Linked DNA regions of Pelodiscus sinensis. The protein of the gene in region 4 purifies or fractionates together with the protein of the main gene of each other region. This does not show direct contact. Links are inferred from orthologs where the notes say so. Each region holds a gene or a part of one and is shown on either strand. Other genes may lie near its edges. The genes, in order: PSMG3, PSME3IP1, PSME4 and PSMB7.

Region 1 (7,522 bases), on a different chromosome or scaffold from region 4:
GGTGCATGTTTTCATGTCTCCCTGGAGTGGCTGGCTCATATGAAGTATAAGAACCCTTGTTATTGACAGATATTTTGGATAAATGACAGGAGATTATGGGGTTTTGGTGCTTAAGATGCAGGTTCAAACATCTGCTGGTGTCTGCCTGTATGTTACACTCGGAGACGGTCCATAGACCCATGACAGGGTGGAATTAGCATTTGATTCAAAGGATAAAAGTCTCCTACTTCCTAAAGTCATATTTGTCACTCAGATGAAGGTAGGAGTGGTTTCCCTATGGCCTGAGATCAAATGGAGCCTTCTGTGCTCCAGTCATGTACAAAGGGAACGGGAGGTTAGCAGGGATACAGCAATAGGATGCCTTTCTTTTCATAAGATGGAATTCTCCGCAAAGGTAGATATAGTGGAAATTCAACAGGAAGACTTATTGACAGCAGCTGCCACTATCTCAGTCACACAGGCAACCCCTTGAATGCTTGTAGTAAGCAGGAGAGAAATATTGGTTCTTCACAGGGAGGGAAAACGGGATTTGCCAGATGACAAGAAGGGGTGATGATAAGGTATCAAGTCTCCCAGTTCTGTCTTGTTCAGAGATTTTCCATGGAACTCTGTTGCCCTCTGGAGGTTTATTAATGCACTCGCAGCACTATGACTAGCAGTTAACTTCATTTAAAGTCAGTTAAACTTTTCATGCAAAAACAATTCAGAACACTAAGTCTTTACAAATGTTTGGACAGGTGATCCAAAATTCAGAATCTTTGTTGTCAAGGGTGGTTTGTGTGGTAGAAGGGTAAGATGTGAGGGGGAAATTGAAATAAAGGTTTGGGAGACACTTAGCATTATATAATTTAGTATTACACTGGATATTCTTTAAGAAATCATATTTTTAGGGATGTATCTAGGCCAAAAATATTACTCTGGGATGAGCAAAGGTCAAGAATTTTGGAAAAACAAAAACAAACTAAAGTTTTTAAGATGGTTATTACAGATGTATTAACTTTTTAATATTTCTTTTCTTTTCTTTTCTTTTCTTTTCTTTTCTTTTCTTTTCTTTTCTTTTCTTTTCTTTTCTTTTCTTTTCTTTTCTTTTCTTTTCTTTTCTTTTCTTTTCTCAACATCAAGGCTACATCTACACTGGCAGCTTCTTCCGGATGAACAGCCATTCTTCCACAAAAACTTGATGGCTGTCTACACTGCACGAGTGTTCTTCCAGAAGTAAATTTACAGTATAGCGTTGTAAAACAGGGCTTCTTCTGGAAGAGTTATTCCTCTCCCCACGAGGAATAAGCCCTCTTGCGCAAGAGCTCGTCCAGAAGAGGGCAATGTAGACAGGCAACATGAATTTCTTGTGCAAGAAGCCCCTATGGTTAAAATGGACATCAGAGCTTTCTTGCGGAAGAGAGCGTCTACACTGGCATGGATGCTCTTGCGCAAAAGCACATCTCTTGCGCAAAAGCACATGCCAGTGCAGACGCTCTCTTCTGGAAGAGTTTTTGCACAAGAACTCTTCCGCAAAAGAGTTTTTCCGGAAGAAGCTGCCAGTGTAGACGTAGCCCGAATGAATGGCTGTCTTCTGTCATGAAATCTGTGTGTGGTAGCTGTCAATCAATAAAAACACTCCCATTCTTACATAGTGCTTTTCATCAGTAGATCTCAAAGCCCTTTACAAAAATTAAATCGTATATCCCCATTTTGCAGATGAAGAAACCAAGGTACAAAGTGTTGAAGTAAGTTGCCCAAGGTCATCTATCAGGCCTAAAAAAAGACCCAGTCCAGTGCTGTATCCTTTAGCAAAATGCAGGACAATGTAGCACTTTAAAGACTAACAAGATGGTTTATTAGATGATGAGCTTTCATGGGCCAGACCCACTTCCTCAGATCAAATAGTGGAAGAAAATAGTCACAACCATATATACCAAAGGATACAATTAAAAAAATGAACACACATGAAAAGGACAAATCACATTTCAGAACAGGAGGGGGATGCGGGGGGGGGGGGGGAGGAAGGAAGGTAAGTGTCTGTGAATTGATGATATTAGAAGTGGGGAGAGGGGATGTTTGTGAGCTAATGGTATTAGAGGTGATAATTGGGGAAGCTATCTTGGTAATGGGTAAGGTAGTTTGAGTGTTTGTTCATTCCTTCTCGGAGAGTGTCGAATTTTAACATGAATGACAGTTCAGAGGATTCCCTTTCAAGTGCAGATGTAAAAGGTCTTTGTAGCAGAATGCAGGTGGTTAAGTCATTGAGAGAGTGTCCTTTCTGGTTAAAATAGCAAGAAACTGTTTTTTCTTTGTGATCTTGTATCCTTTAGGATATTCTGCCACTCTGTACAAGCTACTTTACAGTTTTGATTGAAACATGAATTAGGGCACATGAAGAAAAATGTGGGACTACTGAAAAGGATGTAACTGTTTGCATTATAGGTTCATACACTGACCCTTAAGTACTATGATATTACAAATAAATTACAATAATATTAGCCATGCTGTCCACCATAACAAACGAAAAGGCAAGATTTATCCAATTTGCAGCCTGATCCTTCACTCTGCCCAGCATCATATATATCAAAATATTCCCGAAGAGTTTAATGGCCAAAAGAAAGTCCCCACCATCCAGCATGATCTCAATGACTCATTCAAGTCTACAGGAAACAGTCAAGGATGAAAACACTATGGAGCATGCATCTTACAACCAAAATTCCCTTCCACTCAAATGTGACAAGCCAGGTTTTGAGTTCTCTCTTGTTTGCCAATTTTAATCATACCTTTAAAATTTTAGGTGCCTTTAAAATTTGAGAGAAAAGCCTGGGATGCTCAGAACCCTATGTGGAAACAGGAAATCCAGCCATTGCCAAATTGCTCTGCTCTGCTTTGAGGCTAAGATTCACCTTATCCCAACCTCCATCTCTCCACAAAGACCTTCACATTCTGGTCACAGATGGGAAGCTGTGATTCTTTGGAGACAGAGGATGAGTCTTCTGCAGCATGAACTTTGCTCTAGCTGGTGAATAGATGGAAAAAACACAAGAGAACAATTAAAGAATTTAAATCATGCAGAAGATGGCACAAAAGGAAGTCAAGGCCATTTCAGAATGCCCTTGGAGTTTATACAGCCAATACTTTAGAGATGTTTAAATGACTAGGAACATCAGCATTTCAAGAGTTGGGTCAGGGCAACTATGCCAGTTTGCCAGGCTAGAAAGCAGGCTCTGACAGTTCCTATCACACTTCTAGGCTATGTCTACACTCGCGGCTTCTTGCGCAAGAAGTCGCCAGTGTAGACAAAGCCTTAGAGGGAATGCTTTCAATACTAAAAACTGAAAAGGCGCTATGCCTATTTTGCAGAGGGATTGAGTCTGTTGACTTAATAGAGACCTCTTCCTTCTCACCACCCTCTCTCATACGGATTGGGCAAGAGCCAGAGATGGGTCTGTCAGGTTTGCGAGGGTTCCTCCCATTTGCTGAATACGGAGAGGTCTACCATGCTGTGTTGGTTTTGGGGGAGCAAGGAAGGAGCTGACTGGAAAGGGGCTGACCTAGTTCAGTGTATGTGTGGTAGGGATGTGAGGGTATGTTTACACTACCCCGCTAATTCGAACTAGCGGGGTACTGTAGGCATACCACAATTGCAAATGAAGCCCGGGAATTTCAAATCCCGGGCTTCATTTGCAATTGCGGTATGACTACATTACCCCGCTAGTTCGAATTAGTGGGGTAGTGTAGACATACCCTAAGAGTTTAACTGGTTAACCAATAAGGTGATGCTTATCTGTTCCTGTTAACAGTTAAACTCTGCTAGGGAGCATAGGGCTGACAGCCCATGAGGCTGGCAGCCAGTAGTGCTGAGGGCCAGCAAAGGTGAATCCATGGGGCTGGAAGTCCTCAAGACCAGTGGGGCAGGGAGCCCATGGGGCCAGTCGCCGAAGACTATGGAGTCAGAAGCCTGTGGAGCCAGCAGCCAGGAGCCTTCCAGCACCCTTCCTTCCCTACATCCCCAGGTAAAATGTTTAACTGTACAATCAATAGAATTTTGATTGGTTACATGGTTACTATGTTTTTATATCCCTAGTGTGTGGAGGGTTGTAGTGGTATGAAGTGTGTTGAGTTTGAAAGGGGCATTTCCCACTCAGTGAGGCCAGGGAGAATGGGGTAAGCTGGATATAGGGGGAACTTCCCCAGTGTGTGATTCTGAGGGAACCTGGAGGGTATGCGGAGTGCAGGGGTCTCCCATTCTATGGGGATAGCAGGCGTGTGGGAAGTAGGGTGTGGAGGGGAATTTCCTTCTCTGCAAGGTTGGGAGAGATAAATGTGGGAGACAGGGTGAGCTGGGTGCATGGAGATCTTCCCCACTCTGTGGGGCCAGAGAGGAATGATACCGGAAGGAACAGGGTGCAGGGCTAGGATCCCCACAGGGTAGGGCCAGGCCTGGAGGGGGGGCATCCCATGCTCATTGTGGCCAGGATGCAGGAGGGACTGGACAGGATACTGGGAGCTCCCTGCTCAGAAGGGCCCAGATGCAGGAGGAGTTCCCCGCTTGGTGGGGCTAGAGCCGTGCAGGGGTGGACACCCAGCGTGGTAACGCCAGCGGGGGGGCGCCTTGCCTGGAGAGGCTTGGGAAAAGGGGGCATCTCTACTAGGTGAGGCCAGGAGGTTGTGGGGATACGGTGGGAACAGAAGGGGGGGCGGGCTTCCCCGTGGGGCCCGCGGACGTGCAGGGAGAACTCCCCGCTCTGAGGGTGCAGAGGAGGCTCCCGGCTCAGTGGAGCCTGAGGGGTGCAGGGACGGAGGCGGGGGCGCCGGGTTTCCCCTGGGCCCGGAGGGAGCGCGGGGGGCGGGGACGCCCATGCGGGGCGGGCTCAGTGACTCGGCGGCGGCGCAGAGCGGACGCGGCGGGCAGGAGCGCGGAGGACGCGGCGGCATTGCCGGGTGAGGCCGGGCGGACAGGCCCTGCTCTCGCTCGCCCCCTTCTCCCGGGCTGGTCTCGCCTACCTGCCGGCCGCGCTATAGCGCCCGGCTTCCTGGGCCCGGCTCCCGCTGCCGGCGAGCCCCTGCGGGCGGGGGGCTGCAGCGGGGTGGGCTCGTGGCGTGACTCTGAGCCTGCCCGTGCCCTGCTGCGTGGGTTTATGGGGGGGGGGGGGGGATCCGAGGGCTGCCAACTTTGCCGACCGGGCACCTTTTGCAGCAATGGCGTCCGGTCCGTTCGGTCGGGAAAGTTGGCAACCGAAAGCCGGGCCTAATCTGAAGTTGGGATCTTGTTTGCTCCCCTGACGGTAAGGCCGTGGCCAACTGGGGGCGTGCAATGAGTGTGAGGGGCGCTAAGTGATCCACCAAAGTCCTCCCCCTGGATTTAGTTTGTAGGGGAAGATACAAATATTGGGTTACAAAATGGGAATCGCTGACTTGGGAATGCCAGATGCCAACTCAGGGGTGCCCTTAAGTACAAGACAGATGGTTCTACTAGCCCCGTTTTATCCCAATCCTCGACATTTGGGCTGGGAAGTTGGGCAAAATGGTTCTGGATTTGGGTCCTCTGGAGCAAAACCATGCTCTAGTGCAGTGTTTCCCAAATGGTGTTCCGCGGAAGTGAAAATATGGGTTCCGCGAGAAAATTCCATTACAATAACTACTCAGCACTGTGTGCCAGACAGTCAGTGGTGCAGTTGCCTGTTATATATCACGTAAGGGGTTCTGCAAAATTCTTTCGAGTTTAAAAGGGTTCCGTGGCCAAATAACATTGGGAAACACCGCTCTAGTGGGATCCAGGAGACCTGGCCTTTGGGCGTCAGGATGCAGGACTGGTAGGACTGTATAATCTGTTGCATGTGACACAATAACAGTTTCAAGCAGTGTGAAACTATGAATGGCATAAAAGCCTGTAAATAGCAACATGTGTGTGTAGCCTAAGTTACTAAAGAGGGTAATGTCAATTCACTTCTGAGTCAGATACACTCAGACATCACATGTTCATGATTATTTATATACAGCTGCACCAGTTGCTTACATCTATGGGCATATTTATGCCATTAAAACAACACTGATATTTTAAATTTAATTAAAATATTGAGCCTTTTTATGACTCTTAGTTAATGTTTTATATCTAATACTAGTATATTATTTTACTCAGCATTTAAGACGTCTGCCATGGCAGCAAAATCTATTGTGACTTCAAAGCAGAAGGAGGAGGTGGTGAGGGGTATCCTAACAGAGGTGGTATGCACGGCCTTCTCCAACTCCATTCTTGTGGTGGTGACGCAGTATGGGAAGATGGGGACGCTTGTCTCTGTGGACCCCAGCACAGTAGCCAGTGATATCAGCAAACCGTCACTCACCACGAAAGTGCTGCTGGGCACGGATGAGGTATGTGGCCCTGAATATTGAGGGGGAATCTCTCACTGGCTCAGAATTTGAGCCTGCTTGGGCTGCCAAGCAGCTGATGTGCAGTTGTGCAGTGGTAAGATTAAAAAATCCTGTACTAAGAGGGGTGTAGTTCATCAGTACATTTTGGGTATTCATGTTAAAGGTATGTTTAACATAACAAATGTCTAATTAAATCTACACTGAAAGCGTATAAGGGTTCTGTCACTTCATACTCGGTTATTTTTATGGAGCTTTGCCATTCCCATTGACTTCAGTGGTGCTGGAACAAACATAATGGCCTTCACTATCCTTTCTCCAGTGCTTGTCACAGTATTTTTCCCCCATCCGAGCACTTTTTCTCCCCACTTTTACCTCTTCCAAAATCAACTTTGGTACCCCTTCCCTCAACTGTGCTTACCACCAGTTTCCTTAGATAAGACAGTTATCCAATTCATTTTAATTTAAAATGAGTTCTCAATTACTATTTTTCAGAAACAAGAGAAAACAATAATAAATTTTGGATCAGATAGGCACTAAATACAAAGTTACAGTATACTGCAAGTTTACCTAGTTTTACAGTGCTGTAGTAGAACTATCTAGTGTTGCTTGCTAATCCCAAACAGAAAAAAAACCAAACTCAGCAATGTGACAGGTTGCTCATCCTCTTAGCAGCTGGTCTTTGTGTAGCCCTCACCCTTCAATAATAAGCTCTCTTTCCTTCATGTGGGATGTGTCTGCCTGTAGACAGGATGGTTACAGCGTTGGTGTGATGTGCGCTTGTCAACATGGAACAGAAAAGCATATTCAGTTTCTGATACTTATGTTAATCAGTGGCACTTCCTGTTTACATATGGGAGAAATTATTTCCCCAGATCTTGCGTAGGTGTCCATTGTCTGCTTCTTTGTATTATATGTTAATTAATGTAAACAACCTTGAGGAAATACTTCCAGCCCAGCCTTTTTTGGTGATGCATGCTGCCAAAAACCGCAAATCAGTTCTGAAACAAACTCAAACAAAAATAAACTTTAGATCAATATATGTGGCAAGATGGATGTGCCAAAAGGCATATTTTTAGAGAAGCCCTAATTAAAAGGGGTTATATCCCTTCTTTCCTGCTAATGCTTCACTTTTTAAAAAAATTACATTAGTCTATAAAATCACCCT
Region 2 (7,392 bases), on a different chromosome or scaffold from region 4:
CCAGAGTGAAGCTCAGCTGGGCTGTGAGGGGAAGGGGAATAGAGCAGGCGCTCAGCTCATCTGGGCGGGAGCCACTGTGCAGCTCAGCTCGGCTGAGGAGGGTCCAGGAGCTGTCACGTGGCTCAGCTGGGCCAGCTTGGAGGACCATGGGAGGGTGGTACATTGGCACCCTTTGCACTCTCCCATGCGAAGTGTTATCTTCCCTAATAAAGTGGACAGCCTAAGGATCTCTGAAGTTTCGCAGACCTTTTCCCAAGTTCAAAAGTAAAATGACTGATAACTTCAGAGGGGTAGCCCAATGCCCCACTACAATGTATATCGGCCAAACTGGACAGTCTCTACAGGAAAGAATTAATGGACATAAATCAGATATCCGCAAAGGCAACACATAAAAACTTGTTGGAGAATACTTTAATCTTCCTGGACGCTCATTAATGGATCTCCAAGTTGCTGTTTTGTTTCAGACCAATTCCACAAGCCAAATACACAGAGAAGGACTGGACCTTAACTTCATTCACAAATTTAATTCTTATGCTACTAGTTTGAATGGGATATTGGATGGCTCACACATTATCAACCAACCAAACAATGAAGGTGCTAATGGTTATTTATGTCTGTGTATAATCTCCTGTTGGTCATCTTCCTTTCCAAGTGCAAACTAATGGTTCTTATCAGCCTCTTGTAACTATTTAGTTTTTCAGATGCTATTAGACTAGTTGTTGAAGTTTTTCCTGTTACAGACTATCACTCTGAAACTTATCTACGCACTGTATTTTTTTCTCCCCCCCCCTCCCCCCTTCCCTTATTTATTCTTGAATCTGGACTTCCAACACTCCGGTCATCTAAAGAAGTAGGTTGTGCCCACGAAAGCTCATGATACCATCTACATGTTTTGTTAGTCTTTAGAGTGCTACTAGAGTATTTGTTGTTTTTTAAGTTTTTCCTTTATTCTTCAATAAGTATTGCTATTGCCTTTCAGAACCCTTTGGGTAGCACTGAAACCTACAAGAACCACATCCATTTCTCTCTCTAGTTTTTCCAAATATCTACAAGAGGCAGAGGATATTCTGGAGTTGCTGTCCTGGCACTTTACTAATGCCCCCAAAGAACTTAATCAGCTTCCAACTATTGATATCCAAACTGCCAGTGGTTGAGTTCCTACAAGCATTCAACCACCATACCTCCAAGCATGCTCTGCTTTTGTAAGCAGGTAGAAAGAGCTCTCAGCTCACTAGACTCTTACACATAAACACTGGAAACTGTGGTCTTGTGAGGAGACAAAGGACCAAATACACAGTCTAATGGGTGCCAGTCTACAAACAACACCTGAAACAGGCTGCTGCCATCATCAAGCAACTTGAGGAAGAAAGGCAGATGTTTTTACAGAACTTCAATTGGGGCAGCTCTTATTGGCTTGATGAACTATTACTTCCCCCCCCCCCCCCCCCAATGTGGGCTGATATCAGATGCCACAAAATGAATACCTTCATTAAAAAAAATAAATCTTATAGCCCTCATCTTTACTTCCATCGCTAGCTCTATGGAGTAGAGACTGTTTTCACTATACATGCATCTACTATTTAGTTCAATAAGTTCATAATCAACAACTTATAGCTGCTAATGTAACACAAACAAATAACTGTCATCCTCATTGAAAATCTTCAAAGTATCCTACAGTGTAACAAAGTGATAGAGGGGCAGACTAACAAAGAGATGTTTGTCCAAGCCTGAAGCTGTGAACTAGTCTACTCATCTTGAAGTGCTATTAATGCTGCATCCCAACAATGCTAGTTTAAACATCAAAGAGTCCAGAGGAAGATCTTATACAGAAGAAGCTTGTAATCAACACCAAGAGGCAGTTGTTCTTGCCTAGCCATACTGTACACTGTATCACCTTTACCCAACTCACCTGCCAATTATTCCAAAGGGAGCTGGATTCCAAGGCAGAATGGCACCAGATTCAACACACATCACCAAACAAAAATCAGTAACCTTATTCTCACCACCCCTTGCCTGTAACACCACTCAACAGGCAGCCAGCTTCCCCCTAATCCTACCTCCACAATCCTACCCCACACAGCCACCCAGCCTCCCCACAATCCTACCCCACACAGGCACCATCTCCCCATAATCCAAACCCCACAACCCCACTCCACACAGCCACTTGGCCTCCCCCTAATCCCACTGTCACAACCTTACTGCACACAGCCACAGTGTCCTCCTAATCCAACCCCCACAACCCTACCCCACACAGACACCATCTCCCCATAATCCAACCCCCCCCAGCCACCCAGGCTCCCCCTAATCCTACCCCCACAGCCCTCCCCCCCACAGCCACCCGCCTCCCCAATCCTACCCCCACGCTCCTCCCCCACACAGCCACCCGCCTCCCCAATCCTACCCCCACGCCCCTCCCCCCACAGCCACCCGCCTCCCCAATCCTACCCCCACGCCCCTCCCCCCCACAGCCACCCGCCTCCCCAAAGCTACCCCCACGCCCCTCCCCCCCACAGCCACCCGCCTCCCCAAAGCTACCCCCACGCCCCTCCCCCCCACAGCCACCCGCCTCCCCAAAGCTACCCCCACACCCCTCCCCCCCACAGCCACCCGCCTCCCCAATCCTACCCCCACGCCCCTCCCCCCCACAGCCACCCGCCTCCCCAATCCTACCCCCACGCCCCTCCCCCCCACAGCCACCCGCCTCCCCAATCCTACCCCCACGCCCCTCCCCCCCCCACAGCCACCCGCCTCCCCCTAGTCCCCCCTTTTACAGCAGCCCGGCCTTATCCCCCGAAGCCAGACCCCCGCAGCGTCTGCCCCCAGCCCGCTCCCGCGGCGGGACCCCACCCACCTTCCGGCCGGCCGGGCGCTCCGCAGAGCAGGGCCTCTACGGCGACGGGCGCACCGCTCCCCACTCAGCAGCCACCATTGACCCCGCGGGGCCTCGGCCTCCTCGGAGCCACGCCCCTCTCCGCCCCAGCCAGCCAATCATTTGCCTTCTTCCGCTCACAGGGCCACTACTAGCCAACGGCGGCTCTCAACTCCCTCGGCCGTCCCCACAACACAGCGACCATTGGCCGAGCTCCGTGACGGGCGGCCCGATTGGATGCAGCGTCACGTGCTCGGCGCCCGCAGGCGGATTGGTTGGTGCGGGGGGAAGGGGCTGGGCGAGTCGCCCGGGAGACGGGGCGGGGGTGGGGCGCGGAATGGTCGGGCTGGCGCCTCCATCTTCCCACCCCGCGCCTGGATGGCACAAAGGGGCAGCGCTGCCCGGCCGCCGGCCTGAGCGGGGCACGCGCGCGGCCCCGCCCCGGTAGGTACCGCGAAGAGGGGGGAGCCGGTCGGGGCCGGAAGCCCCCGCCCCGCGCGCGGATGCTGAGGGGAGAGGGGCTGCGAGCCGCGGGGACCCCTCAGCGGTGCGGGCGGGGCGCTCCCGGGCTGAGGGAGGGAGGCTCCCTGGGCGGATCCGCGAGGGGACCGGAGGGAGGCGGGTGAGTGGGTCTGGCCCGGAGGCTCTGGGCAGGCGGGTGGCTGTGGGGTGGGCTTGCCCCGGTTCCCCGGCGGGCGCTCTGGGGGCGGGGACCGCTGTGTGGGCCGGAGCTGCGGGCTCGGGGGCTCACGGCTCTGTCCCGTTACCTGCTGCTGTGGAACTGGGGCGATTGGAGGCTGGTTCCCCGCCCGGGCAGGGGGGGCGGGGGGCGGGGCTTGCTTGCCTTGGTGGCCGTTTAGTCCCCGTTTTGCCTGCCGCTGGCTGGTTGGCGGGGCATGCTGCGGGCGTGAGAGAGAGAGATCCGAGATGAGTCGCGGGCATCCCTGATTTGCATTTGCTCTAAGTGGCGGTTGTAAACGCGTAGGCTGTGCCACCGCCTTATTACGCGCCGTTACTTTATTTCTAACAATGGAAATAAGGGTAGATGGATTGTTGCATACAAGTTAGACGTCCTCTAGTTTGCGGGCACCCCTTCTAGACTCCCATAATTTCAAATGATCTTTGGTATGGCTGTATCTAACGGGCAAGGGTTCCTGTGTTCTGGATTTCTGGTCCTGTTATAGATGGATACTTGGCAGTACAGGCAGTCCCCGGGTTACATGGATCCGACTTACATCGGATCCCTACTTACAAACGGGGTGAGAAAACCCTGCACTAGCTGCTTTCCCCCAGCAGACCAGGGAGACGTGAAGCTAGCACCCCTCCCCCCCAGCAGACTTGGGAGACGTGGAGCGGCTTTTCTCAGCAGACACCTCAGCTTGAGAATAAAGGACTGAGGGAAGTGAGGTATGGGAGAATAAAACTGAGCTCTGGAGAAATGTTTGGCTAGAGTTTCCCCTACAATATGTACCAGTTCCGACTTACATACAAATTCAACTTAAGAACAAACCTACAGTCCCTATCTTGTACGTAACCCGGGGACTGCCTGTATTTGTAAAAGAATGCTCTGAAGTAGAACGGAAAGTGGACTAACTTTAAGGTAATGGAGTTCCGGATAGGCCAAAAGGTCTCTATATTATACGTGCAGTTGTGACCTTTTGGCCTATCTGGATCTCCATTATTGAGGGCAGGTTTTGCTGTCCTCTCTCAGGTAGAATTTAAGTCAGAGAGTTCGCCTGTGTGAGCGAAAATGAGCAGGAGCCACGAATATATTGGGCTGTATCCTTACTCCCATTAATAATCTTTACTCATACAAGTAGTCCTGGTGCTTTCAGTAGAACAGTTTGCTTGGCTAAAATTATTTTTATGTGTACACACAGGCTATTAAACACAAAAGGACTTTTTTGTTTTTTAGTAGTATATTAATATCAAGACCCTGTTTCTGCAAGGCACTCTAAGCCATAATAAACCTTGTGCACACTAAAGAGTGCTTAAACTTAAACACATGCTCTGCAGTGCTTTGGAGAACTGAAGGCCTACTTGAAAAATAAAAAAGTACAAGCTTTGAAATCCTTCTGCGTTTATCTGGCTCCCAGAAGGAATCATGGATTAAATCAAATGTTCTGTCATATTATACATACCAGAGAACTCATTGCAACCCTATGCATTTCATTTTCTATAATTTTTCCAAACTACAAGAAATATAACGAACTAGTCAGTATAATATTTTCTATTACCATGCTACTACTACTCTACAGTAATTGTAGATTTTACAGAGGATCTCTTCAGTTTTTATTAATTATGGAAACATTTCAATCCAGGTTTGAGGGGATTTTTTGTTTGTTCTTTAAACAAAGGTTAGATTATGGGCCAAATTTCAATTTATATGTATTCTATAACCAGGGCTTGACAAATCTGCTCGCCCATGGCAGGTAGATTTTGGCAGCTAGCAAGCTGTGACGGGGCGGAGCTGCCCCACGGCGGTGAGAGCGACCCGCCCTGCACTTCAGCGGTGCCGACCCACCCCGCTGCACGGGCAGCGCAGCGTTCTGACAGCGGTCTGTGCCACTTGCTCCCATGCGGCCGCCCAGCTGAGCAGCATGCAGGGGTGCCGAGTCCTGGGATGGAAGCGGGGGTGGGGCCACATGTGAGTGTAGGGCGGGGCCAGAGTGTGCGTACATCCCTGACATCAGGGGGAGAGGCACCGGCGCAAGAGAGCGCTGCATTCAAAGGGAAGGCAGAGGGGAGAAGAGGCGGAGGAGAGTAACAGAAGAAGAGGAGAGAACAGAGGGGAGAGCTAGAAGAGAGTGGTGGGCAGAGGAGTGAAGGGTGAGAGCGGAGGAGAGAGGAGGGGGACGGGAGTCAGAGGAGGTCAGAGAAGACAGGAGGGAGACGGGGAGTGGAGCAGAGAGCAGAGCGTGGGGGCAGAGGATGTGAAAGGAGAAGCGGAGGTTGGAAGCAGCCCAGAGCGGAGACACTAAGGAGCCCCATCCTGGGCTGCTTCCTACCTCCGCTTCTCCTTTCATGTCCTCTGCGCCCACGCTCTGCTCCACTCCCCGTCTCCCTCCTGCCTTCTCTGACCTTCTCTGACTCCCGTCACAGAAGGCAATCAGAAATTAAGTGTGCACTTTTTTACCCCACTGCTTTGTGTTTTATGGAGAGGGCTAGAAATATTTTTTTTTGTTTTTTTTTTCTCTAAATCTCTAATGACTTATAAAAGAAGGAGGGGAGGAGAGACTCTTAGGTGTTAATCTCAGTTCAAACCTCTGTTTTAACTCCATTGTCTAAAACACTTGGGAGAATTAATATCTTGGTTACATCTTTGATGGTGCCACCACAGCTGCTTAAATGTTGAGAGAAAGAGCTCATGAGATGAACAAGAAGACCTGAGATCTCCAAGAAGTTCTCCAGGAAAAAAACAAAGTATGATGTTAAGACTTTTTTTTTTTAACAACGGTGACAGAGGTGAACAGCAGAGTCCCTCAAGGTTCTCTTGATCTGTGAAACAGAGTGAATTGTGAAGGGGCCAAGGTGGCAAACAATACAGAATTATTCAAGGTACAATGAGGAGTTACAGAAGGATTTCACAGAACTGGGTGACTGGACAAGAAAATGGTTAATAAAATTCAGTGTACAAAGTAATGCACACTGGAAGAAATACCAACTACACAGGTACTAAATGTGTCCTAAATTTGCTGTTACCATCCACAAAAGAGATCTTGGGGTCATCTTGGCTAATTCTATGGAAACCTCTGCTCAGAGGACTGCAGTGTTTAAAAAGGCTAGCAGAATATTAGCAGCTATTAGTAGAGTCATACCAAATTCACGGTCCATTTTAGTCAATTTCATGGTCATAGGATTTTTAATATAATACATTTCGTGAATATAGCTATTTAAATTTGAAAGTTTACAGGGTTGTAATTGTAGGAGTTCTGACCCATACAGGAATTTGCAGGACAGGGTATGGAACTGCTACCCTTACTACAACAGGCTGAACCTCTCTCGACTGGGACTTCCTGGTCCAGCAACATCTGTGGTCTAGTCTGACCGCAGATGATGTTGAACCAAAGAGACTTGGTGGAGGACCAGAGGCAGGAGCTCTGCGGAGGTTGGGAACCTGGCTGCAGGGAAGCCAGGGGCTGGGAGCTCTGCTGCAGGAGTCCGGCTAAACCAGTGGTAGGGTGGCCGGAATGCGAGTGGGCTCCGTCAGGGCAGCAGTCTGCTGTGGTGGGGCCAGAAGCCCCACCGGCTGGACCAGGGGGCTGCCACAGCAGGGCTAGCAAGAGCTTGTGCTGCCCTTGTAGGGCTGGCAGGGTAGGAAACCTTGGAGGCTGAGCAGCAGTCTGCTGCTGTGGGGTAGGTCCTGGCGGTGGTACTGGGGTTGGCGTGGCCGGTGCTGCCATGGCAAGGTTGATGGTGCCAGAAGCACCGTTGGCAGGGCAGTGGTTTGCTGTGGTGAAGCTGAGAGCCCCAGCAGCGGGACTGGGGGCTGCCGTGGCAGTGCAGTAGGGCTGATTGCATGT
Region 3 (7,185 bases), on a different chromosome or scaffold from region 4:
TCCCTACAATATAACCTCTCTTTGGAAAGCAGAACTACTGCCCTACCTAAGTCCACTCCCCACAAAGTACACATCTACATGCAACACATCAGAAGAAACCACTGAACAAAAATCTGCGTGCTACCCTCGGCAGCAATGACAACTACAAACTTATTTCCAGGAGAGATGGAGCAGTCATGTACAATTTCTGGCAAAACAAGTTAAGTGGCTTAGTGAGTATCTATCTTCTTTAAAGGCAATAATACCCTCCTTCCAAAGCAGTGATGGGCAGCCTGCGAGCCACATGGGTTCTATGGATGGCCCTTTGCTTTCTATGCATGGCCCACTAGACCTTTTGTTTACCATTGCCCATGCACAGGTTTGCCAGATTTTGCTGGTATCTGTCCATGTAATTTTTTTATTTAACAGTATTACTAAAGTGAAATGCATGTTAAGCGAGTGAATGCTGATTGCACACAACACTGACTATGAGAGCCATGTGCTCCCTCTGCATCCAGTCAAAGTGCTGCTAGAGTTCAACAGGTACAGCCACAAATTTTAGGTACGCAAGCACAGCTGCAGTTAATAAAATTAACCTGTCCTGGGAGACAGTCTTGATTACAAGAATTGTGCAACTCACTGAGATGAAGAAATGCCACTCATGCGGCCCACTCATAGCCTAGTTTGCCCATTACTGTTCACAAAGGCCACGCCTCCATTTGCCAGAGGAGCGATGCTCTGGAAATCAATCCTCTAGGGTTCAATTTAGCAGGTCTATTCAAGATCCTCTAAAATTTAAACTGAATGCTGAAGGAGCCCCCATCATCTTTGGTACTCTTCACTATTCGGAAGAATGAGGGAAATCAATTAGAGAATTTCTCCCACCAACTTTCAACTGTGGGGTTGCCTCAGAAAAATCAATGCAAGGTACACTGACTCCAACTACACAATTCATATGGCTGGAGTTGTGTATCTTGCAACTTTTTTCTCTGCTAGTGTAGTCCTGGCCAGAGACTAACAGAACTAGGCAGCCTGGAAATAGAAGTCTAGTCTTTATTGCAATATGAGCCTACAGTGAAGATTGCACAAGTTGTGGAAATAGAAGCAGAAGCTCCCCAGCTTCTCCCAAACAAGAGCAGCACCTCCCAAAGGCACCAACATCAGTTCTGGATACTTTAAAAAGAGGATTTAACCTGCAACAATCTAAAACCTGGCTTCAGTCCCAGTTCCTGCTGGTGTCACCATTATAAATAGCCCCAGACAAAGGTCCCTCTGGCTGTTGAGGGCAGAGAGGAATGAGTGCTTGAGTTTAATGCACACAGGACAGACTCACAGTGTGGGAGTTGGGGGCCTCTCTACTGTCAAATGCTAAAGGAGAGAGCCTCCACTCACAGCTTGCGCTGCTTTCACTGACACACACACCCTTCACAGCCTTTAGACACCTTGGCCCCCAATACTTTCCCAGCATTAATGTTAGGCAAAAACTCTGGGAAAAGAAAGGGATATAGTCTAAAAGACACCCACACCAGTTGGGGTCACACATATGGGAGCCAGATACAAAGGACAACTGGCAAACACACACTAGGGAGCAAGTTATAGAAAGCAACCTGGCATGCACACAAAAACACACACACACACACACATATAAGTATACCATTCAAGAAGGCATAAGAAGTTTGGGTGAACATAACCACAGGGAGAGTACTAAAGGCGGGTGTGCACTCAGGCACACACAGACCCTAAAGGCAAAAGTGATACCAGGGCAGGTATACACACATATGCCTACATGAATTCTCAGGGAGGGCAGAGATACCAAGGTTAAGTGTGTACTAGGGATGTGAAAGTGTAAATGGCTATAATCAGCCTCCCCTCCCCCCAACGTGCTGCTGCCACTATATCAGAGGGGACACAGCCTGAAAGTTTACCTAAATAACTGCATGTTAACATCCCTAGTGTATATGCTCCTTGCAGCAAAAGGATACCAAAGGTGGGTGTGTACACACACAGTGGGGGGGGGGGGGGCAGGATACTGAGGACAGATGGGTATGCATGCCCACAAATACCCTGGGAGTGCCAATGGCACATGTATCCACATGCAACATTGGCATGTGAACATATAAACACGCACACACAGGATACTGATGGCATGTGTACACACATCAACAAACCAAAGAAGTGGGGATGACACACTAATGGCATGTATAGGAATGTGCATGCTTGGAGGACTAATGCCATGTTTCAGTACAAAATAACACACCAAGAGTACTAATGGCACATATACACACATGCCCAAGAGGTACCAATGGCAGGCATACATGTCGGCATGTCCACAGCAGAGTACCAGACATAGATGGGTGGAGGTTAGTACAGGGGCACTAATGGCAGGGTGCATACAGACACTATCACACACTCACAATCTGGGGTGCTGACAGTAGGGATAGACACACACACACACACGGGGAGGGAGAAGACCAACAGCATGTGTGTACGCAGTCAAGCATAAACACACATTGATACCCTCGCGCGGGGACTGACAGCGAGTGTGTACCCACTCGCGCCCACACGCACTCGGGGGGCCGAGGGCGGGTGTGTACACACACACACACACACACACGCACTCGGGGGGGGCATGTTCACATACAGCCTCACCCACCACCCAGCCCTTTGGCCGAGCGGCCCGGCCCGGCCCAGCCCCGCTCGCCCTTGCGCCCCGCAGGGAGACGCTGCCTCGGCCAGGCCGCAGGACTCACGTGGAGAGTTTCCTGGTCCAGAAGAGCCCCCCAGGCCACAGCTCCTGCAGCTGCACGGCGCGGCCCAGGTTGCCTTTGATCTGGGCCAGCAGGCGGCTGGCCTCGGCCTCCAGCCGGTCCGCGTAGGGCAGCAACTTGTTGTAGGCGATCTCCTTCTGCGGCACGAAGCCCGGCGCCTCCCCCGGAGGCCCGCTCCCAGCCTCGGCCATGGCCGCCGGCACCGTCCGCCGCTGCCGCTGCCGCTGCCGCTGCCACCACCCTCCGCGCCCGGCTCCGTCCTAACGAGTCACACAGCGGCTCCTGGTGACGAAGCAACCAACCACCGAGCGAACAGCCGCCTCCCGCTCGGGCCAGGTCACTTCCTGCGCGGGGGCGGGGGGAGCGGAAAGGGGGAGGCAGAGAAGGGGGGGCTGAGTGGGAGAGGCTCTCTGGGGAGCGCGGGGGGTGGCAGCAGGCAGTGAGGCTCGGAGAGGGGCGGGCGCTGTGGGAGCCGAGGGAGGCTTTGAGGAAAGAGGTGGGAAGAGCTGAAAGGAGCTCGGGAGGGGGAGGCCGGTGTCGAGGCGGAGTGTGGCGGGGACTGAGCTGGAGCGAGATACGAGAGGCGGGGCTGAGGCACTGACCTGCCCTACAGCTCTGTCAGGTTTGGGTTCATTCTGGCAGTATTTAGAGTCTCTCTGTAATAAGGATTTTGCCCGACATTTCAATGAGACACTTTCACTTAAAAAAATCTTCATCAAATTGTCCTACTCTGACAGCCCTTGATAGAGAGTGTGGGAGAGGAATATACACCCTTGCGTCTGTGGCATCCCCCGACTGTGGTCTTAATGACACCATAAACCTGGTACCCTCATCTCTCTGGTAAGTGAGGCAAAAGATAGTTTTCCTAATTACAAACTGTGCTGATTTTACCTCAGCTGAAGGGAACAAGGGGGTGGAATTTTGACTGTGAATGATCACACAAAGTATATTTTAAGAGAGTTTAATTCCAACCAGTTTACAGACACAACTAAATATAAACTACTCTAATTTGAGGATAATCTTGCTATTGAAGAAATCAACACCAGCACTGTAGGACTGCATGATCCATTCACAGTCTATAGTGTGTGTATATGGAGAAGTAGAGGGGGAGAGAAAGAGACAGAATAAAACTGTGAAGTTGTCCCCGAGGTGCAATCAAACTAGACAACTAAAATGTGAGTGCAGCAGAGAATTGATGGTGGGATTTAACCAGTGTAAGAAACAATGGTGTTATGTGTACACACCGGTTATCCTGTTTTGAGTGCATTTTTACCTCATGTTTACAACATAGCACTTTGATCAACAATTACAGTTTCATGGCCCTCTAGGCATATGTTCTACATGTTCTCCCTCTGAAGCAATACTTGTGGAGCATTTCAAAAGGTTTCCATGAGCTCAAGGAAATTGTGGGGAAAAAGAGAACCATCCCCACAGGCACTTGGCATTTCTGAATAAGACTTTCAGAAATGCCAAGTGCCTATAACACCCTCTGATGTTCAAAATACACTTTTTGTGGTTTAATGGATTTCCAAAATGAAGTTTAGCAAATTTACCCTGCTGTGAGAGCCAAAATCACATTTGTCCTGCAATATCTGTGAAATTATTGGGATTTAAAAGAGAATTAAATATTGGTATTTCCTAGAAAGTATGAATTGTAATAGGAATTAGGCAACCAAATCTTTTAGGCATCTTTGACTATCTCAGCCAGAGTGTCCTCAGGGCACATTCTTTCATAAGCGTTAAACACTACTTCCAGAATGCTGTTCACTGACAGTGCAAAAGTCCTGACTAATAGTTTGTGTGGTAATGATTCACAGAAGGTTGCAGATTCAGGCTTTGATTAAATCCCTCTAAACAAAAAGAGAATTAAATAACTTTGTTGGGGTTTTTTAATTAAGAAAAAGTAAAAAGCAAGTCTGGCATTGGATGAGGCTAGTATAAAATGAATTGGATTACACATACTGATCTGCTGTGGTAAGTGTTGTCACAGAGGCTACATCTACACTGCAGCACTATTTTGGGATACCCAAGATATCCCAAAATAGCTGTTCTGCTTCTTTTGAGCGCACCCATTATTTCGAAATATAATGGGCTCACTATTCTGACATCGCTGTAAACCTCATTCCATGAGGAGTAAAGGACATTTCAGAATAGTGATTTATTTTGAAATAAGTGCTGTATAGACGGTGCCAAATATTGAAATAAGCTATTTCAAAATAAAATATGCAATTTGTGTAGCTCAAATTGTGTATTTTATTTCAACCTACAATGCAGTGTAGATGCACCCAGAGTAACTTGGTCCCTTCAAGGGTAGTTGGGCTTAGTCTAACTTCGCTCGAGTGATGGATTTGGGCAGGTGCTTGTGTCCGGTAACTACTAATCATGTGTCACAAGGATTGGGGTGTGTTTCTTATAAGAGGAAGCCTCCTAAGTTGGAAGGATAATAAAAAAACACCCCCTAATTTTAAAATAGTTTATTTGGGATGCACTGACCTAGTAAAGACCTGGAAGAGATCTTCCTAAAGTAAGGATTCCTGAGTGGTTCCAGCTGAGATCTCTTGGTGAAAGGGTACTAAGGGCGTGCAGGGGGAGAGAGAGAGCTGGAGTTGATCCTTGCAGCCCTGATACAAGGATAGTTGAAAAAGTCCTAATACAAAGGAAATTAGGAGGCTTTGTGAAATAATTGATCCAAAAGAAGGTAGCCTGAACAGGATAGTATGGACCGCTGAAGGAGTTCACATTCACACTTGCTTAGGGAGTTTGGGCTGGGAGTTCGAGCTAGAGTAGGAGAAGAAAGTCCCATTTCTGTTGTCAATAGAGAAAATGGACTGTCGAGCCCGGGAGGGATCTAGAAAAGGATGTATCTAGCTTACTAAGGGCACGTCTACACAGCAGGGCTAAAGTCAAATTAAAATACGCAAATTCAGCTACGTCAATTGCGTAGCTAAAGTCGAAATAGCTTAATTCGGCTTTTGGTACTATCTACACAGCAGGAAGTCAAAGGAAGAACACTCTTCCTTCTACTTCCTTTACTTGTGAAATGAGGATTACCATGAGTCAGAAGTAAGGAGCCCTCCAGCTGGACATTATTTCAAAATAATTGCTTGTAGTGCAGACTACAAAATAACGCTGCTGTGTAGACGTACCCTAAAGCTCCTGCTTAATTGCTTACAATTTTGATTGTAATTGGACTATAATTTTGACTACATTTTTGTTATTGGCAGGTGTTTTCAAGTTAATTTCAAAATTGTATTTTGTTACTTCAAATCAGCAATATTACTCTACATAGCTAGCTTTGAAACCAGAATTAAACATTACTTTATCTATTGTACCACAACATATAAAACATTGCTAGCCCCAAAAGTGCCTTCTTGGCAATCACAACTATGATCAATATTTTTCAGAAAACCTGAAATAGCTAAACAAGCAGTTTTAGAAAACAATAATTCAGTATTATATTTTCAATAATAGTATTGATCAGACAGACTGTTTTGCATGGTCTATCCATTTTAAATACATTTGTTGTAATTGTTTGGTATTTACCTCCTTTCCAAAAAGGAAATAATTTTAACCATTTTTCCCCTAGGCTACGTCTACACTGCGGAGCTATTTCGAGATACCAGAAATATCCCAAAGTAGCTATTCCACATCTTTTGAGCAAACCTGTTATTTCGAAATATAACGGGCATGCTATTCTGACGTCACTGCAAACCTCGTTCCGTGCAGATTAAGGAACGTTTCAGAATAGCGCTCTATTTAAAAATTTGGCACTGTGTAGATGGCACCAAATTTCAAAATAAGCTAAGCAATTTGCATAGCTCAAAATGAATAGCTTATCCTGAGATTAGGGTGCAGTATAGATGTACCTCTAGTGTGCTGACACTAAACTGTTTAAAAAAAACCAAGACAATGCAGTCTACAGAAATGTTTTACAGAGTCAAAAATAAATCCGTGCTTCAGGTTTGTAGTATGTCTTGGCTGCTCTTGGCACATAAAATCACATTTGGTTCCTGAGTCATATGATTCTGAGCTGAGGATTCATCTGCACTGCTTGCATCAACAGCTTTTATTAAGTAGGAGGAATATCAATTGAGAACACATTAAATACAGTGCCACCTGTCATCTTTGTCTTTAAATCTTGAGAATAATGATGAATCCAAGTAAGTGTTTTAGCTGTGAAGGAAATGCAGTCTCTCCATTCATGAGAAATCTCACATTTTACCATTGGCTTATATCACATTATCCACTGTTCGTACATTCCTTTGCAGAATGGCTTGCTGTCTTAGATTAACTAACACCAGCATTGTCAATACCTTGTATTTAGGAAATTTGTCCATAAGCCTAAAACATAACTGTGATCTCAATCTGAAGCAACCAGTTTTCTCTTCAGAAAAGTGTTGTCCAGTGTTCAATCTCCCTTTCTAGAATAAGGTAAATA
Region 4 (6,902 bases):
AGCAGCACCAATGTAACCCTGGTACCTGATGGACAATGTGCAAACATGAATACAGGCATTCAGAATAAAAGGATAAACTGTGTTTCACTCTAACATAATACATGCATTCTGAAAACTAAAGTATTTTTTCATTATTATAACAGGTTGTTTCTCCATGCGTAATAATCTAAATGTGCATCTTTCAAAAACATGCCAGTCTTAACCATTAGCCAATATTAAATACAGCCACCTTATTTGATCTGCCCTTTGTTTTGAAGCCACACAGTTATTTTTACTTTATATACTAACAATTTAGATATTCATTTCTATCCCATTCCCTTAAGGTCAGGTGAACCAGGGAATAGTTTATAAAATCCTGATAATGAACACAGTCTCCTTCAGGGTAAACTAACATTTAACTTAAAAGAGCGTATTTCCCAGTTATACCCAGTGTCTGTGTTTAACATAAAAGTGAACGCATAGAGTTACCTGAAAAGCATCTGTTTGAGCATTCTATTAGCTGTGACAACTCTCGGAAGCCGTCCAGTAGACAAGGAATGGAGCTCAAGATTGGAAGAGATCAGCTGAGTTGTCATATCAGTATCTGCAGCTGTCCCAGCACCACAACAACTGGAAAACATTTTTGGCAAGTTACCAAGTTAAAAACTCTTAAACCTTTGTTTTTAATTAACGTCCCTGTTCTTTTGGTCACTAGAAGTAGAACTGGCTTTAAACTTCCATGAAGTGTAAAAAGGCCATGCCACTACAAAGGTAGAAACTGGCTATTCAGACAGGGAAAATTAAAATTATTTAATGTGCCAGATTATTATCATCTCCTCAATTTGCTTTGATTTAATCAAATCCAATAAGAGTTATAGTTTCCTGTCCCTTGTAGTATACAAAGACGGCTCACATGCATTCAGAGTTAACAGGCATCTGCACAAAAAGGTCCTTCACTAGCAACTGTAGAGTGACGTGTCACTGCTTCCTACTTAGATACACTCTTGGAGTTATTTCAACCCAATCATTACAGCCTTATGCTGGCATAGGAGGAAAAATGAAACTGACAGGATACTAACTGTGATGCAAATTTGCCTATTTTTATTGTCTGGCATGAATGACCACCAGAAAAACCAAACTACAATACTGGTGAAATTAACTACCATTTCAAAGTTCTCATTGTGTGGCATTAGCAATAAGGTGCATAGTTTACAAGAATCAACACTAAAATTAAACTTTACTTTCTGTAACACTGGCAGTTTTAATACGTACTAGATATTGGGAGAAATGAAGTGTATTTTTGAACAGTTCTTGTCAGCAACAACCATCCCCTCAGTTGCTCTTGTATCTGCTCCAAGGACTATGCCATCCTACAGAAAAGAAGAGATACTTAATCAAAAATTTGTCAAGATCTAGAAAAAATGCATTATTTTATTGCTCATTTAGAGTAGTCTGTCTCATTCAATAACAGTAACCACTGTCACTGCCTACAATTCTTACAACAATAATGTACCCTCACAGAGAGAAAATGGTAAAGACTAGGCTGTAGAAGAATTTGTAATTGATGATGATGGAGTCTTTTCTTTTTTTAAACACAAGTTCCCATAACACCAAATATACAGCAATGTAACAGGAAAGAGCAAGTGTACTAAACAGAGTTTTTGAGTAGGAATGTGTGAATGGTTAACTAGTAAACATCACCTGGCAGCTCCACCAGGCTGGAGCAGCCACCTACCCAATGCAGGCGGGGACTTGCCCTTCCAGCTAGGACTGATGCACCATACTGCAGGGGATGGAGGGAGGAGTGAACTCCAGCCTAAGGCCGCTCCAGCCCCAACGTCCACCCCCATTTTAGCAGTTAACTGGTTAAACATAGTGTTTAACCGGTTAACTGATTAAAAGGGATTTTACATCCCTACTTTTGAGTGAAGAGAGATGACAAAGTCGGCAGTGGACAAGATGCCGCGCCCAGCAAGCAATGTTAGCTGAGGAGGCCATTTCTGGAACTTTCAAGTGATGACTGTCTGGATAGTAGACCTTAACTGAATACAGGAGGCCCCCCGAGATGCGACCGCCTGAGTTCTGACTCCCTGCACTTACAACCAATTTTGTAAGTACGGAAGGGGCCTGAACCCCCCGACTTACATTCTTGGCCCGCATTTACGACAGGCGCACGGCACCTATTGTAATTGAGAGTTCGAGTTATGACACCCCCGACTTGCGATGCTTCCCTGGAACCGATCACAGCGCAAGTCAGGGACCTCCTGTAGATAAGACTTCATGTTATTCTCCACCTAGGTTTCATATGGTATGCATTGCTACAATGTCTCTTGCCACCTGAAGGAACAGTCAACAGGTCACGAAAGCGGACGATGCTATATATCATCCTTTTTTTGCCTCACCTTGAACACAACGCCAGCAATTGTGGTGCCAGTCTTCCGGGCTGCAGGGAGCCGAAAACCTTTCTTGGCAAACTCTACATCCAGGAGTGCATTCCTGGAACCACCAGAGGACCAAAAGGGAGAATGAGGCAGATAGAGCATCCCCACAAGCCAGGCTGTCATCCCCTCCCGCCTACGGCTGAACTGCCCGCCCCCCCAGCCACTCTCCTTCCCCCGACACAGCTGGCCCCTCCCCCCTGCAGACCCCCAGCAACCCCCCTCCCCCTCACACACACACCTGGGCCCCGCCCTAGTAACCCCTCAACCCCCCCCACGCCTGGCCCCGCCCCCCAGCAACCCCCCTCCCTCACACACACACGCACCTGCCCCCCCCCCGCCCTAGGCTGACCCCCCCGGGCTGTGCCAGGCTCCGCAGGCCGAGCTCCCCCAGCCGCCTCCCCCGAGTCACGGGGCCCGGCCCGGCCCGGCCCGGCCCTCACCGCGCGCAGTTGCCGAAGCCGAAGCCGCCGCTCGGAGCCTGCAGCACCGACACCGCCGCCATCTTGCCGCCGGGTGGTGCTGCCGGGGCGCCGCGTGACTCAGCGAGCGCGGGCCGCCGCTTCCGGGTCACCCGCGGCGCTTCCGGGTCACCGCCCTCCCCGGGCCTGAGGCGGCCCCGCCCCCTCGCGCAGCTGGGGGCGGGTCCCCGGGCGCGTGTCCGGCGCGCGGGAGAGATGGGCCGCCCCTCCCCCTCCCCCTCCCGGGTGTTACTTGGGCCTAAGCCGGGGTGGGCAGCCTAAGACCCCCCCAACTCCCCCCCACCCCTCCAAACACCCCCAACTCCCTCCCCCCAGACCCCGCAGCTTCCCCCCCCCACACCAACCCCCCCAGACTCCTCCAACTGCCCCCACCCCTCCACTCTCCTCCAAACACCCCCCAACTCCCTCCCCCCAGACCCCCCAGCTTCCCCCCCCACACACCAACCCCCCCAGACTCCTCCAACTCCCCCCACCACCGCCACCCCACTCCCCCCCCACACACACCACCCAACCCCCCCACCCCTCACCACCCTCTAACTCCACCCCACCCCCTCACATACACACACCCCAATTCCCCTCCACCCTCTCCAGCACATCCCACCCCAGCTCCCCTCCATCCCACACCCCCCACTGGGCTTTTCACGGGATTTTAAAGCAGCAGTGCTGCAGGGAGCCCATGGTCTGGCCCCAGGCTCCACATGGCACTGCTGCTTCGAAGTACCCCCTCCCCCGCTGCAGGGAAACGACTAATCACCTTGCCTGTTGAGTATTCAATAAGTATTTGCTTAGCAGATAGTCAACTAGTCCTTCACGTCCCTAACAAAATCTGCTAGCCCCCCCCCCCCCCCCCACTCCACGCCAGGTTCTGGAGTGCGAGGGGAATGTAGGGAACCTCAGTCCACATCAATGAGGTGGGTTTTGCTTCTCACTTGTGTGCCACCCCCAACTGATTTTTTTAGTGGGTCAGCAGTCCCTGACCCAAAAATGTTTCCCCAGCTCTGCATTAAGGAGCCAGTGGCAGCTCATGTGGCTTCCTCCAGTCAACACAGCCCACATTTTGCTTGCCAAAGGGTCTCAGTGTAACACTTTTCCATGCATGGTAGACCAAGAGTGATAAGTATATTTGAGAAAATTTCAGTCCGTTTATGGCCATGGTGTCCAACTAGTTCTGGAGCAGTAGCCAGTATAGCAGCTACTGCTATGGCAAACTAGCCACATTATTCTGAAACTGTAAATCTAAAAAATGTAAAGCCACCTAGCCACACTTGACTGGCCAAATAGCCACACGTGGCTAATGGCTAGCGTGTTGCACACCACGGGTTTATAGACTTGTGGGAGAGGAGAAGAGAACTAGAAGGGAGAAAAGATGAAAGTCATTGAATACATCAATCATGCGCAGGGCTCAACAAACCGCTGTTTGTAGATTTCAGCCGGTCGCTCCGGCGCATGCACAGTGCCAATCTGGTGCATACATGGTACGGGGCTGGTGAGTAGTTCTCACCACAGTTTGTCGAGCCCTGATCATGCATTATTCCAACTCCAAAAACAAAAACCCACAACCAATAACAGATAAGACATTTTCCCAAGAAATGTCATCTGAGATGTATGCCTGTGATAGGTGTGATATGTTACAGACTAACACTCTGATCCCTGCTAGTGCTTAGCTTCGTTACCCTGAGTGGCCTCATTAAAATCAATGGGATTGGTTTATGGTAGTAAAATTAAGTGCCTGCATCCATCACTGGAATAAATTGCTTAGGGAGGTTGTAGAAGCTCCATCACTGGAGATATTTAAGAGCAGGTTAGATAGACATCTATCATGGATGATCTAGACCAGCATTTCCTAAAGTGCATTCTGCGGCACACTGGTGTGCTGTGAGGCAGTCGGAGGTGTGCTGCAGAGAGAACAGAATGCAAAGGGACAAGCCTCTTTTTTTTTTTCTCAACAACTTTTCCCTGGGGGCTTTTTTTTTTTTTTCCTTAACAAAGAAATCCTTGGTGTTCCCCATTTAAAAAAAAAAATTGTTTGGTGTTCCTCGGTCTTAAAAAGTTTAAGAAACACCGATCTAGATGATGCTTGGTCCTACCATGAGGGCGGGGGACTGGACTCGATGACCCCTCAAGGTCCCTTCTAGTTCTAGTATTCTATGATTCTATGTTGGCAGGATTGGGACCTAACTTGCAAATCTTCCCACAGAAACTGGTCCTGTTGAGTTGTGAGCAGGATCATGTGTGAAAGACCATAGGTTATCTCACTGGAACGCTATGTGACCAGTGCATTCTGCTTTAAATAGGTGAAGGTTTCAATGTGAGAGAGAGACCCCAGAGCAAAGGTTTGGCCACCATCACATAAGGCCTTTGATAGTGAGGGATCCAAACAACGTTCCCTCTAATTTTTTACATCCATGTACAGGATAAATTTTGTTTCCATCCATCCCTGGAATAAATTTTGTTATGTGCACCAAGGTGCAGATGTGCACCACCAATAAAAATGCATGCCTGCTAATCAGCTGGGTGGCACCTGAATCTCTCCTGGGTAGCACTCAGCTTACAGGGAGCACTGGAACAGAAGTAAAGGGAAGAAAGCAGGGTGATTTTGGAGATGTACCAACAAGAAACATCATTTTAAACCAGTACAATGCTCGCCAATCATGGATGTGCACCATTAGCCTGGTTTATTTGAATAGACTTCAACGTTTTGTTCCCCCTGCTTCTTGCCTCTTTCCGCTATCTCCTGCTCATCATCATCTGATCCTATTTTTCACACAATCTCACCTTCCTCTCACTTTGGACCTTTCTCCACTGGAGCTTGGGCTGAGCATCTGGCCTGCTCGGCAGCAGAACTTTGAGCTCTGAGCCCAGCCTTTTATACTTCTGGCCTCAGCAGCCACCAGTTGCCATTTCTAGGGTGGGAAGGAAAACAACTGTGTCTTCATCACTAAATTAAATACATTTTTGAATGAGATAATATGATGGGGTTTGCCTGCAATAGCAGAGGACTGGATGACCCAAGAGGTCCCTTCCAGCCCTATGGTGCTAGCTTCCTATATATATGGAGAAGGGGAAGTGGTCTATCTATTTAAAAAAGTCCTCACTCATGTTAAAAAATATAGGAAAAACCAAGAGAAAGCTGAAATTGTAAAGGGAAACACGTGATCAGCGGGGGCTATGGACCTTCTTCTAGGGACAGTCTAACTCTAAAATGAGAGCACACAGCATAGACACATGAAAACCACTGGCTGCATCTAGATTGGCATGATTTTCCAGAAATGCTTTTAACTGAAAAGTTTTCCGTTAAAAGCATTTTCGGAACAGAGCGTCTAGATTGGCACGGACGCTTTTCCGCAAAAGCACTGTTTGCAGAAAAGCGTCCGTGCCAATCTAGACGTGCTTTTCCGCAAAAAAGCCCCGATCGCCATTTTTCCAATCGGGCCTTTTTTGCAGAAAACAAATCTGAGCTGTCTACACTGGCCCTTTTGCGCAAAAGCTTTGTGCAAAAGGGACTTTTGCCTGAACGGGAGCAGAATAGTATTTCCGCAAGAAGCACTGATTTCTTACAGTAGGAAGTCAGTGCTTTTGCGGAAATTCAAGCGGCCAGTGTAGACAGCTGGCAAGTTTTTCCAGAAAAGCAGCTGTTTTTCCGGAATAACTGGCCAGTCTAGACACAGCCATAGAATAGAGTAAACTTCATTAAGCATTAAACCCTGATCCTGTGAAAAAACTTGCCCACTCACTGCAAATAGTCCAATTGAAATCATTGTAACTATTCTGTGCATAAAGCTAAGCAAGTCTTTGCAGAATCCAGGCTTATGACTTCCAAGACATTAACTATCATTGTGATTACTCACCTCATGCTGCTTTAACCCATCACCAGCTGTTGAATTTTTGATACTGCTGTTGGTTTGAGGAAGACCAGCTGGGGTTATTAATCCAGCTGGAATACATCAAGCAAAATAGCCCCCAGAGGCCTTTTGAAGAGAAGAGACAGTAGAGTAGTTTGTGA

The links.
Region 1: the proteins of PSMB7 (region 4) and PSMG3 purify together in Homo sapiens (affinity purification with mass spectrometry; 3 studies listed by BioGRID and IntAct, counting the BioPlex papers as one, with this or other methods). This does not show direct contact. The link is inferred for Pelodiscus sinensis from reciprocal best matches to the Homo sapiens genes PSMB7 and PSMG3.
Region 2: the proteins of PSMB7 (region 4) and PSME3IP1 purify together in Homo sapiens (co-immunoprecipitation; 3 studies listed by BioGRID and IntAct, with this or other methods). This does not show direct contact. The link is inferred for Pelodiscus sinensis from reciprocal best matches to the Homo sapiens genes PSMB7 and PSME3IP1.
Region 3: the proteins of PSMB7 (region 4) and PSME4 purify together in Homo sapiens (affinity purification with mass spectrometry; 3 studies listed by BioGRID and IntAct, counting the BioPlex papers as one, with this or other methods). This does not show direct contact. The link is inferred for Pelodiscus sinensis from reciprocal best matches to the Homo sapiens genes PSMB7 and PSME4.

The regions. Positions count from the first base shown.
Region 1 is NC_134726.1:27,444,433-27,451,954, reverse strand, and holds the start of PSMG3 (proteasome assembly chaperone 3), read left to right. Parts: upstream 1-4,505; 5' UTR 4,506-4,637; intron 4,638-4,811; exon of another isoform or gene 4,812-4,926; intron 4,927-5,136; exon of another isoform or gene 5,137-5,270; intron 5,271-6,124; 5' UTR 6,125-6,141; coding exon 6,142-6,357; intron 6,358-7,522. UniProt on the Homo sapiens protein: Chaperone protein which promotes assembly of the 20S proteasome. May cooperate with PSMG1-PSMG2 heterodimers to orchestrate the correct assembly of proteasomes.
Region 2 is NC_134722.1:43,288,257-43,295,648, reverse strand, and holds the start of PSME3IP1 (PSME3-interacting protein), read right to left. Parts: upstream 3,006-7,392; 5' UTR 2,852-3,005; intron 1-2,851. UniProt on the Homo sapiens protein: Promotes the association of the proteasome activator complex subunit PSME3 with the 20S proteasome and regulates its activity.
Region 3 is NC_134713.1:175,089,691-175,096,875, forward strand, and holds the start of PSME4 (proteasome activator complex subunit 4), read right to left. Parts: upstream 3,011-7,185; 5' UTR 2,939-3,010; coding exon 2,730-2,938; intron 1-2,729. UniProt on the Homo sapiens protein: Associated component of the proteasome that specifically recognizes acetylated histones and promotes ATP- and ubiquitin-independent degradation of core histones during spermatogenesis and DNA damage response.
Region 4 is NC_134732.1:24,377,594-24,384,495, forward strand, and holds the start of PSMB7 (proteasome subunit beta type-7), read right to left. Parts: upstream 3,018-6,902; 5' UTR 2,923-3,017; coding exon 2,861-2,922; intron 2,476-2,860; coding exon 2,382-2,475; intron 1,350-2,381; coding exon 1,252-1,349; intron 610-1,251; coding exon 469-609; intron 26-468; coding exon 1-25. UniProt on the Homo sapiens protein: Component of the 20S core proteasome complex involved in the proteolytic degradation of most intracellular proteins. This complex plays numerous essential roles within the cell by associating with different regulatory particles.